Linked DNA regions of Tribolium castaneum. The protein of the gene in region 3 purifies or fractionates together with the protein of the main gene of each other region. This does not show direct contact. Links are inferred from orthologs where the notes say so. Each region holds a gene or a part of one and is shown on either strand. Other genes may lie near its edges.

What was found.
Region 1: the proteins of btz (region 3) and regulator of nonsense transcripts 1 purify together in Homo sapiens (co-immunoprecipitation; 5 studies listed by BioGRID and IntAct, with this or other methods). This does not show direct contact. The link is inferred for Tribolium castaneum from reciprocal best matches to the Homo sapiens genes CASC3 and UPF1.
Region 2: the proteins of btz (region 3) and Upf2 fractionate together in Homo sapiens (co-fractionation; 3 studies listed by BioGRID and IntAct). This does not show direct contact. The link is inferred for Tribolium castaneum from reciprocal best matches to the Homo sapiens genes CASC3 and UPF2.

The regions. Positions count from the first base shown.
Region 1 is NC_087397.1:527,840-531,875, forward strand, and holds the start of regulator of nonsense transcripts 1, read left to right. Parts: upstream 1-1,236; 5' UTR 1,237-1,569; coding exon 1,570-1,749; intron 1,750-1,801; coding exon 1,802-2,029; intron 2,030-2,073; coding exon 2,074-2,253; intron 2,254-2,299; coding exon 2,300-2,512; intron 2,513-2,564; coding exon 2,565-2,956; intron 2,957-3,367; coding exon 3,368-4,036. Other genes in the region: sodium channel protein Nach, read right to left, coding at 1-156, 207-326. UniProt on the Homo sapiens protein: RNA-dependent helicase required for nonsense-mediated decay (NMD) of aberrant mRNAs containing premature stop codons and modulates the expression level of normal mRNAs.
Region 2 is NC_087394.1:28,282,372-28,286,579, forward strand, and holds the start of Upf2 (regulator of nonsense transcripts 2), read left to right. Parts: upstream 1-1,373; 5' UTR 1,374-1,463; coding exon 1,464-2,130; intron 2,131-2,234; coding exon 2,235-2,584; intron 2,585-2,633; coding exon 2,634-2,859; intron 2,860-4,208. Other genes in the region: uncharacterized protein Zcchc7, read right to left, coding at 1-876. UniProt on the Homo sapiens protein: Involved in nonsense-mediated decay (NMD) of mRNAs containing premature stop codons by associating with the nuclear exon junction complex (EJC).
Region 3 is NC_087396.1:15,136,072-15,140,163, forward strand, and holds the start of btz (protein CASC3), read left to right. Parts: upstream 1-1,226; 5' UTR 1,227-1,305; coding exon 1,306-1,365; intron 1,366-1,519; coding exon 1,520-1,809; intron 1,810-1,861; coding exon 1,862-2,065; intron 2,066-2,123; coding exon 2,124-2,797; intron 2,798-4,092. UniProt on the Homo sapiens protein: Required for pre-mRNA splicing as component of the spliceosome. Core component of the splicing-dependent multiprotein exon junction complex (EJC) deposited at splice junctions on mRNAs.

The DNA.
Region 1 (4,036 bases), on a different chromosome or scaffold from region 3:
GTTAGCTTCGAGCATTTTTTTTGGATTTGATCGTTCGCAAATAACAATTGAAGGAAAGTTTGTTTGCCAATTTAAGTAAGATGTGTCCACTGAAAAGGATATTTTTTGGTTTTGATACTGGTCTAGTGCGTTAAACATTAGCATAATCGATGCGGCCTGTGAATCTATTTTATTGTGGTAAAAATTTGACGATTTGTGGGATTTACCCAAGAAGTTAGGACACATATTGTCCAAAAAAATCTTTCAGTCCAGTGGAATCTCTTATCAGCTATGAAATGCAAGCCATGTAGAGACGTGTTTAAGAAATATTTTGTAACAATACTCATTGTAGTGTAGTTGGGAATTTGTAATCAATACTATTTATGAGTTGGGTCATAATGCAGTAAAACTTTAATAAATTATTAATAGATGTGTTGAATTGTCGCTGTACAAAAACCTAATAAAAAGTTAACAGTTTTCAAACTATCAATTATATCATCGTAATATTTATTATGTATCTGTGGGAAACCAGAATGATACGTGAGCATTTAAGTAACCGCAAGCTACTTAAACATGAGAAGAATTAAAAAATAAGGAGTGCCAGTTGTAATAAAGAGCATGTGTGATTTCTATTAATTTAATAAAATACAGTCATTTCTTGATAATGTTTTTATTGAGTCCACGTTCTATTTTTATGGATAAAGTTTGTAATAGCAATATCAAATTCAATAATCATAAATCATAATAATTTCGCCATTTTTCGTCCATTTTTAATTTAATAATTAGGTAGGCAAAACCAAATGCTCAGTTGTTTTATTGGTCATCTACTCAATAAACTTATTACGTTTTTTAGTTTTATTTATTTCGACAAAAACATTCGTAAATTTACGTTCTTTTAAAACGAACATCATTTTATGTTTTTGACTTATTACCGATAAAATTTCACTGAAAAATCGGCTGTTTTTGAAAAATGTGTTTTTTTTATTTTGATATGCCTCTTTTTTGCAGTCATGTGTTGAATGTTGAATAAAAACCGAAAAATCAATAAACTTTATGCTATAATTTTATAATAAAAATAATGTTTAAATGTAAAATTTACAAAAAAGTGAAAAATCAAATCATAAAGTGACGCAGCCTTAGCCACTTCTACAATCAAACATATGCTTATCTCTCTTTAACTTAAAAGATTGCGATACGTGTCTCACTCCGATAAGATGGTAACCACAATGATAACACCGTGCCAACCAACGAAAAAAAGCTTAGGGATTAAATTAGACAATAAGGTTGTGCAATAATCTATTTCCTAAACCACTTTTTAATTTTGAGGCCATAAAAAAGATCAGTGCGCTAAAAACTGAAAAAGATAGCACGAGTGTTTAAGTTTCCCGCTCCGTCAATTATGCTTCGGAAAGAGAAATGACGATAAAAAAACAAATGATTAATCAGGAAAATATGGCGCTTGCCAGGAGAAAAATGTAGAAATTTTAAAGTAACCATAGTCGAGTTGTCATCAATTGAAGTGTTAAAAGTGTTTCATCAGTAAACGTGAATAAACCCGTGCTTCAATTCGTTCGCGACGAAATCTCCAAGATGAGTGTCGACGCATACGGCCCCAGTTCGCAAACTCTCACGTTTTTAGAGACCGAAGAAAACGACTTGATCGGGGCTGACACCCAAGGATCCGAATGCGAATTCACCGATTTCACAATTCCATCGCAAACGCAAGCCTCGCAGCACGACCACGCGGGCCCCAAAGTTTCCGGTGTACAGGTTAGTGCAAGGTCGCCCCCTGGTTCAGTGTCGTATGACGTTGTTGTTTTAGCTCAACAACAACATCAACAACAAAATCGCCAATGCGACGAGTGCTTTAGGGGAACTGCAATTCGAGGAAGAGGATGAGGAGTATTTCAACAGCAAGGAGCTCCCGAACTACGCGTGCAAGTACTGCGGCATTCATGAGCCGAATTGCGTTGTCATGTGCAACTGCTGCAAAAAGTGGTTTTGTAACGGGAGAGGAAACACCTCAGGAAGCCACATAATCAACCATTTGGTGAGGAATTTCAACTTGGAAACTGTTTTTTGATTGGGGTTTAGGTCCGAGCCAAACACAAGGAAGTGACCTTACACAAGGACGGCCCTTTGGGCGAGACAATCCTTGAATGTTACAGTTGTGGCGTCCGCAATGTTTTTGTTTTGGGGTTCATTCCTGCCAAAGCTGACTCTGTTGTGGTGCTACTTTGCCGCCAACCTTGTGCCGCCCAAAACTCACTTAAAGTAAGTCATTGCTTTTAAAATAGGACAGTTTTCAAGCTTTTAATAGGACATGAACTGGGATCAAGACCAATGGAAACCACTCATTACCGACCGGTGTTTTCTCACATGGCTTGTAAAAATACCATCAGAACAGGAACAACTGCGAGCGCGCCAAATCTCAGCCCAACAAATCAACAAACTTGAAGAACTTTGGAAAGATAATGTTGATGCCACGTTCCAGGATTTGGAACGGCCAGGAGTTGACGAAGAACCGCAACAAGTTAGTCTTGTTTGCACAGTTCTAACGTATTTATTATAATTTTTTTTGGTAGGTTTTATTGCGATATGAGGACGGTTATCAGTACCAAAACATTTTTGGTCCTCTTGTTAAGCTTGAAGCTGATTATGATAAAAGATTGAAGGAGTCTCAGACTCAGGAAAATATTGAAGTTAGGTGGGATGTGGGTTTGAATAAGAAAACAATTGCGTATTTTACTCTTGCTAAAACTGACGGGGATATGAAATTAATGCACGGAGATGAGTTGAGACTTAGATACGTGGGAGAAATGCATAAATCATGGGCGGGGGTGGGACACGTTATCAAAGTTCCTGATAATTACGGAGAGGATATTGGCATTGAGTTGAAGAACGGAAATGGGGCTCCCACCGATTGTAACAGCAACTTTGTGGTGGATTTCATTTGGAAAAGTACCAGTTTTGACAGGTAAATTTCGTTGTTGTGATAGAAACAGAAATAATCACGTTAATCTCTTTATGTATCACATTTTTTATTTATTTTTTTAATTAATGTTTTACTGTTAGTAGTCAAACGTTGAAAGTACCATTGTTATAAACTTTCACATTAAATATAAGTATAATATTACAATCAAACTTTATTTTAAAAATCACAGTAATTAAAAAAAAAGCATGAGAGAAGTGACGCATTTTCACTTCTTATTTCCGAATGTTAAAAAAATCTTTGTAAGATGTTAATTTTAAGCGTTGATATTTCAAGCTATATTAATGTGGTAATTTTTTTATAAGGTTTCTAAGAATATTTAATTAAAAAAATAATTATGTGAAAACAAGTTTTCACGTCGTTTTTTTCTGAGCTCGCCTTTATTGTTAATTGCAGGATGCAACTCGCCTTGCGAAAATTCGCCGTTGACGATACATCCGTTTCCGCCTACATCTACCACCGCCTCCTCGGCCACGAGGTCGAAGAGGTCCTTTTCCGTTGTCACCTCCCTAAACATTTTTCGGCACCTAATCTTCCCGACTTGAACCGTTCGCAAGTCTACGCCGTCAAACATGCCCTCCAGCGTCCACTCTCCCTCATCCAAGGTCCTCCCGGAACGGGAAAAACCGTAACTTCCGCCACCATCGTCTATCAATTGGTGAAACAAAACGGCGGTCCAGTCCTAGTCTGTGCTCCCAGTAATACGGCAGTTGACCAACTTACCGAAAAAATTCACAAAACTAATCTAAAAGTTGTAAGATTGTGTGCGAAATCACGCGAAGCGATTGATTCGCCTGTGAGTTTTCTTGCATTGCATAATCAGATACGTAAAATGGAAGCCAATACTGAACTCCAGAAGTTGCAACAGTTGAAAGATGAGACTGGAGAGTTGAGTTCAGTTGATGAGAAACGATACAGAATGTTGAAAAAATTGGCTGAGAAAGAATTACTCGAAGCTGCCGATGTTATTTGTTGTACTTGTGTGGGGGCAGGTGATCCACGATTGGTTCGTTTGAAATTTCATTCGATTCTGATTGATGAAAGTATGCAAGCGACTGAACCCGA
Region 2 (4,208 bases), on a different chromosome or scaffold from region 3:
CATTAAGTTTGCAGAATTGAGGTCAGTGGTGCTTGAACTACTCTCAGTTTCGCACGTCTCGTTAGGGTTTGCAGGTTTAACAAAGTCGCCACTCTTGAAATCTGATCCGTGCAAACTGAAGTTGAAATTTTTGTGATTTAATTCAACTCCAGAACTGTTGACGAAATCATTCGAGGCTGAATCGGGCGTACTTAACAATTCTTTACGCTCGCGGTGGGCCTTTTTTGTTGGTGAATCGGAAACGCTCGAGTTATCCGATGCAACTGACGCAGTTTCGTTATTTTTTTGTTGTGAGTTTTTCGGAGACTCGGTTTCTTCGTCAAGGTTTATTACCTCAACAGGTGTCTCCACTGGCTCAACAAATACAACATCGTCATTTGACGACTTGTTTTCACTAATATCTTTCTTATTATCATCGTCTGAATCACAAACAGACAAAACCGGCCAATTTTCAGGAATTAACACACAGCTATCCTCCTCGTTCTCACTATCGGACAATGTAATGACCTTGTCACAATTACTTGGTTCTTGGTTTCCCGGTACGACACCTGGTGTTTGTTTCGGAGGTTCCTTCTGAGAATTGGCCAGTTTCTCCAATTTCTTCTGCTTCCTTTTGTAGTTTTTCCAGCGCGCCTTATTACGATTTTTCTTAGGAGTTACACAAACTATCGGACTTTGAGGAGTCAAAACAACTAGTTGGTTGATTGATATATTATCAGGCCTGTGGCGCCTGTTGCAACTTTTTGAGTAAAACCCTGGATGGGACTGGTCATTATCCTTGAAAGTTGGTGGTCTTGTGTTTTGTTTTGCATGCACACTTTTTTGGAATTTGCTGCCAGGGGTCCAAGGGCCGAAGTAACGGGCCTGATTTTTCATGTTTTCGGGGGCCAAAGGCGCGACTGGTGCAGACGGAAGGACTAAATCGCTTTCGGTATCAACCGAGTGGTAAACTTGACTATAAAGACGTGATTCGATTTCTTCAAGGTCCAAGTCATTCTGGAACAATACACGTAGATTGCTCAAATTGTAATAAGTTGAACAATACCATGGTTAGTTGTAAATCTACATTTTAAAAGTAACAGTACGAGAAAAAAATTGTAACTTGAACCAAAAATTAGTAACATTTGACAGCGAAAGCGAAACACACGTGGTTTTCGTCACCAACTTTGCGGAGGAAAACGCACTAGTGGGATACGATTTCGGACGCGAAATCCGAAAACAACTCACTTTACCTCCTGTACATTTGTCCGGGTTAAATCCGAATTATTGTCTTTAATTTTGATGATGTAAACACTTTCCGTTCGCTTGGAATTAACGATAAGATAACACGAAAGTTGATTGTGTAACTTGCATTGGCAACACTTATATCTATTGACGGTTGGGAATTTTCGCTTTTTCCCTAAATTGTTTTCTAATAATAATCATTTTAACAAGTTTTTTGCAAATAAAGCCCGTTTTGCGACATGACCGTGACCGAATCCTCGGAACACGACGGTGAGAAAGACGAGAACAGTGCCGAGGCCCCCAGCGAAGACGACAAAAACGTCCTAACCTCTTACATCCAAGAGGTGGAAGAGAGGTTTGTTTGCAAGCAAGAGCTGCGAAGTGCCAACCAAAATGCGGCAAATACGCGCCCCAGCGAGTCCCACTTCAGCAAGCTGGACTCCAGCCTCAAGAAGAACACGGCGTTTGTTAAGAAAATCAAAAACTTCTCTGCCAACCAAGTGGACACATACTTGAAAGACATGACGGGGCTGAACCTGTCCAAGTACATATCGGAGATTGCGGCTGCGATAGTCGATGCTAAATTGAAAATGACCGATGTGGGCGCAGCCGTAAAGATGTGCAGTGTTTTGCACCAGACTTACGCTGATTTCTCGCAACACTTGTTTGAGAACTGGCAGAAAACCCTGGCCTTTAAAGTGGGTGAGAAGATTCCAAATCCGAGTAAACTGAGGGTGGATTTAAGGTTTTATGCCGAGTTGGTGCAGGCTGGGGTGTTTAGCAATAAAAACGCGTTCACTTTGCTGGGGACCGTGATCACCACTTTGGTCAACATGGACAAGGACGAACACTACAATTGCTCAATAATCCTCAGCTTTTGCAAGCACTGCGGCGAAGATTACGCAGGTAATTTTGGTATTTTTCGCCCAATCAACTACTCGTATCCCCAGGCGGACCGCATATTAAACGCCAGTCAAGTCGATAAAAATGTTAATTTTTTCGAAATATAGGTCTGGTCCCTCGCAAGATGCGGGAATTGTCCGAAAAATTCGACATCCCCATCCCGAAGAGCACTTTCCTGCCGCCCGAGAAGCAGCAAAACGTGCGCACCTTGCTGAGGGATTACTACGTTTCGCTCAGTAAGCATCTCGTCAAAGACCACCAAGAGATCCAAAACTTCGAGAAGCAGAACATGAGGATACTCCAAACCAAAGGCGAGTTGAGTCAAGAACGAAAAGACAAGCTCGAGGCGCTTCAAACATCGTACGATAAATTATTAGCTTCGACACAAAGTTTTGCGGAAATTTTAGACGAAGATATGCCAACTTTGAAAAATCAGACTCTCATGAAAAATGATGAGGTGGCTTTAATTAATTGGGTGGGATAAAGAATTAACTGAGAATTTTTAGAGTATGATAGTGACAGGTGCGGGGCCCGATTTGGACGAAGCTGCGTTGGCTAATATCGAGAATGTTTGGTGCGATATTGAAACGCAGAGGTTTTACTGCGAGTTGCCGGAATTGCAAGCTTTTTTGCCGACTTCTTATATAAATAAACAGGCGCCTCCGCCCGAGGAGTCGGTCACTGAGGAGGTGCTGGATTCGGAAATACCAACTGAAGAACTGGAAGATGACGGTGGGTAAATTTGATAATTTATCTCAGAAATTTTTGTTTTGAGACATTGTCGTCTAGAAAAAACTGTCTTGAATGTTACCGCTTTTTTATCTTCAGTAAGAAAGAGTCCTAGAGATTAAAAAAAAAATTTGAATATATCCGTTCCGTTCAGAAAATAATGGTTGCAACCCCTCATATTAGGGACCGTTTAGAAACCGCTTATAATTTTCTATCCAATGAAAAAACGGCATTTTACGAGGCATAGTTTCTGAAAAACTACTAAGGATTTTCCAGGTTTTCTTGGACCAATCGATTTGCGCGAATCATTTATTAATTATTAATAGATTTGTCATAAAAAAAAATTACGCTGATGACGATACTGTTTGACGTTCTCTTATTTCGTCGTAATCGTCATCCGAAAGTTAAATAACTTTGAGATATTGATCACGAGTAGAAACCTGCATCAATTCATTCTAGTTTTTTATAAGGTTTACGTTGATCGATTCGTTGGAATCGGTACTTAAAAAAGTCAAAAATTTAGTTTTCTAAAACTTTTAACGCGTTTTTTTCAAAAACTATAAAAGTCCGACTAGAAAAAATTAAAAACCGTCAGTCTCTACTTTTAATTCTTTATCAAACAGTGAAAATCTGGAATCAGAGTCGATTTTATAAAAAAATATGACTTGAAAACTAACGGTTCCAGTGTTATGTAAGCGAATTATGTTGACCTACTAAGAAACTGTCGGCCTCAAAATACATGTCGGAAACTGCATATTTGAAAATTAAAATTCCTCCACGATTTTTACAATCTTTAATGAATTCTACTTTCATACATTCAAAAACTTCAATTTTTTACGCTTAACCAACAAATTAATGATTCCTATGCGAAGAACTGCCGAGATATCGACCGTTGATATTTTTGAAATTAAATATTTTCTTTATTAAAAAAAAATATATAATTCCTTTGGGCTACGGATCCCCGGATTATTTTTATAAAGTTATAAGTTTCATCAATTCCGGGGTGCTCCGAGTGGTTTCCGAAAAACACGGTGATATTATGTTTTTAATGTCTCAGCGCCCCAGAAATGCTCAAATATTCATCGCAGAGCATTTTCACCGAGTTTCACTAATCGCATTGTGTTGAAGACGTCATTTTACGATTGGAAAATTTATTCATGTAGTAAAATCGTAAATGCTAATGAAATAAATTCTTGAAATTTTCACACTTCGACTAATTGATAAAAGAACCATTCCCAAATTTTTTTTGTAATTAATAAAGTCTTAGCAGTTTTATAAAGTTTTTATAATAAGTGGTATCACAATAACAAATTTTTACTTTATTGGTTAAACAATCGGCAATTTTTTATTTA
Region 3 (4,092 bases):
AATGCATTCCCACCAAGTTGTTACTTTGGTCGATCATTGGAGCATTAACCCTTTTTCCACAAAACTCGTTCCTGCTTGAAATGTAACAAGAAACATGCTTCTGTTTGATGAAACCCGTACAGTCCTCGTGTTGATAAACACGAACATCAAAACTGAGCAATTTGTTGAATTTTTGCCTTTGTGCCAACGGGAGATCCACTCTCCTATCCCAAGTAAAGCTCTGTACAAATCGATCAAGTTTCGCAATTTCAAATGCCTTATCGTCAGTTGCATTAAAATGTAGCAAAACCAAACCAAAATTAGAAAAAATGACATTATTGACCCTTTTTGTCACTCCCCCGAAAGACCACCATGACGACCCTAATCTCAGAACGCCCAAATTTTCAACACAGTCATCAACAGCTAGGGCCCAGTTTCGCGCAATAACACCAACAGCACATTTGAAAAATCCTTCTTTTGCATCAATATATCGCTTTCCGAGAAGAGCGGCAATTGCTGGATTCTCTGATTCCTTACACTTTGCAAGAGTGAAGGTTTGGCTAAGAGAACTAATAGATCTTTTGTTAAGGGCATCAAGTTCAAATTCATATTCTATGTATTCGCGATCGCGTTTGTCGTAAATATTTAGAGTTTTATTTGCTAAATAACAGCATAGAGCGTCACATCTTTCCGAGGCAGGCCCAAAGGCCCCAAAGGCAAACGCTAAGTAAAGCGCGACCATTACCACGAAGAATGGGACTGCTACCATCAAAATAAGGTGAAGAACAGTTTGAAATGAGCTTTTCTACAACAGTTAAGTGGGTTATTGGAACATTTTCTATAAAGTTTTACCATGATTAACGCTAAATTATGTCAAAATTTTTGAATTTTAATTTATTTTTTTTAATTTCACAAGTTGTCTCTGGTGCGATCTATGCAACTAATATAACTCAAATTGTATAAAAAAAATTTTAACTAAAAAACTATAGATGACGTTTCAATCGACTGCTTATATTAGTTTGCGGCCTTTTGGACAATTTTATCAACAAGGGCGTTTTTATTTAAATTTTACTTATAAAAGTATAGGCAACTAGTTATTCAGTTGCCACCAAAAGTTGGTGCTTCTGTGCTTAACCTAACCTCTGAAACCTTGTGACAAGGAGTTGCTAGTTGGCACCAACTTGTTTCTCTCTGTTTCTTTTCCTTTCACGTCGTTCCATTGAGCATGAAAAGGACCAGAAACGAGACGTAAGTCTTGAATTTGTCACTGGCCATCGAATCTTGCCAATCCGGCCAAGATAAAGATATTTGTAAAACAACAAAAAGATGGAAGAAACCGTTGCTGTGCCAGCGACAGCCCCCCAAACGGTGGAAAACATATCACAGGTGAGCCCAATTGCTCCTTACGTTGCTCCTTCGTTCCGGAAAAGAGAAAGATTTGAGAAAAAATTAACAAACCAGGTCACAAGTTCAGAACGAAGTGGAGCACAACCGAGGCGATCTCGCGTGAATTCTTCTCAGTTTAAGAATGATTTTGCAGGAAAAGACACGAATTGACGCTGAGGAGAGCCACAAGTCCCCTAACGAGTCGGAGTATGACAGTGCAGGGAGTTACAGTGATGAAGAGGAGGATAAAGCGAGGTCGAGGAATTCCAGGGAGCACACTGATTCGGAAACTGAAGGCAGTGTAGGGCTGGAGCGGGAATCTGGCGACGGACAGGAGAGTTTGCCTCTCAGGAAGGTGGACGATGATGAGGACAAGAAAAACCCCCAGTACATACCCAAAAGGGGCACTTTTTACGAACACGATGACCGGACAGCTGATGACGAGTGAGTGCGAATAATTACACAGTTCATGTAGTGTGACTGATTAATTGTTTAGGCAAACAGCTGATAATGTAGAATTGGAGAAGGAAAAAGAACAGAAGAAAAAAGTATGGCAGGATAAGAAGGAAAGGTGGAGTCATGATCGTTTTAACGACTCTGAGCAAGCCCCCAAGTCCAGGGCTGAACTTGTGGCCATCTATGGGTACGATATTAGGAACGAGGAAGGTCCCCCTCGAGCTCGAAGGCGCAGACGATACGGGTGAGTTCCCTCACTGTGTTAAAAATCGGTTTAATTTGTTGCGCATGCATTTCCAAAGACGTGGCCCTAACAAGTATACAAGAAACTGGGAAGACGAAGATGCCTACAACAAACCGCCACCTCTTATTCGTAAAAAGAAACCCCTCAGAAAGCCCAATCAAGGCGAAGACTTTCCGCCTCTAAACCGCTCAAGTAATCAAGAAGACCCGCAGGATAGCAGAGATTACGAAGAGAAAACAGACCAGTACCAAGCTGAAACAAACGGTAACACGAAAAATTCAGTATGCGAGTCTCCGCAGTCTCCGCCAGTCCCACCACAAGAATCCAACAGGATGCAGCAACGCGTCGGTTCTGGCCGTGTGGTTAAACCAAAACGCGAAATCAAGGATTCAGATTATAGGGGTTTTACTACAAAAACACGTCAAGTTAGGAATATGAAAACTGATCAAAAAGTCGTCCCGAAATCCTCGAAAAAAGACGATTTTATCCAGTCGCAAAATTTTACAAATAAAAATAACAACATACAAGAGCTAGAAAAGGATTTATCAAAATTGAACGTTCAGGATGGGGTGCATAAAGGGGGTAAACACGGGGGACAGAGACAAGGCAGCGTCCCACCAAGACTCCAATCGGAACAAAAGGGCTCCAAACGGTACAGTTCCATCAGACAGAGGTCGCTTCCAGAGTCGGCAACGCCGCCGTTCTCGCAGCACTCGAATTACTACTCAAATGGTAGGTTCAAATTATAACATCATCACTTAAATTTATTTTCAAGTATACGCACAATACAAATAATTTATGTTATGGTTATGATTTTGCGCTAAATGTTACTGGTCGATTTTGTTTGGTTTTTGATTTTTTTTTACACAAACACAAAGTACAACAGTAAGTGTTAAAAGAAAAAGAAAATATTTTTGGCCATGAAGTAGATTTTAAGTAATAAAGAATGATTATTATTGTTGATGGGAAATTTTTTTCTGAGTATTAGATTTTGATGAGATTTTTTAGTTTTCAGAATTTTTTTCTGAATTAAGTAAAGCAGTGAACGCATTTTAAAAGACTTTCTCCCCTAGAGTCTGAGTGAAAGAATGTACCCTGTAAAATAATATCAAAAATGCTTCTTAACACGGCTGTAAATCATTGCGGAAAATAGCTAAAATGTAATCCTTTTTTGCCCTCTTAATTATAGTCTTGAATATATTTTCTTAGGCAACCAATTCGCAATATATTCCTTTGGACATTACATTTGATAAAAAATAATTTTCATCTGGTAAGTAGATGGGTCCAGGACGACCTTAATTCGGATCTAAACTAGTAAATATTATAATTGATTAGTTTAACTCTGACTAAAACATTTTTGGATTATCATTAGACCCCTCAGTGGTTTGAGGCCACGCTGTACCTACTAAGCGCCCCCTGGCCCTTAATTAACATCAATTTTTCCCAACTGTAAAACTAGAGACAGGATATAGGTAGTTTGAAAGTGTTACAGTACAGTATAGTGAACAAAAAATTTCGGGCACTTAATTAACGGCATTAAAAAAAACGATGTGGTTTAGGCTTAATGAGACGAATGTTTTTAACACGAAGGTTTATGAAGATGAAATGTTGAAGATCTTTGATTTTTTGCTCGCGACGGTACTTACAGGAAACATTTTTTGATAGGTACTTCTGGACCGCGCCAACATTTTTTGGTTGAACAAATGAGCACTTACCACTTTTACGTGTGATTAATTTAGAAATTATGAGTGCAGTCACCATACGCAGTCAGTGTGGGAGCTCTTAACACTTTTGCATAAATCAGCAGCACAGTCTGAAAAACACTACATTGATATTACGTGTTTTATGTGCCTTATGACCCCCTTTAGCATTTTTCAATTACCCAAAACAGTTTCCACAGATTTTTCGTCTTATTTGTTGGATTTTCTCAAATCATTTTCGAAATGTCATCCGTCAAATTTAAAAGAACGTGCGCATGCGCAATAATTTTTAACGTGTGTATTAGCCAAATTCTTTTGTAACTAAAA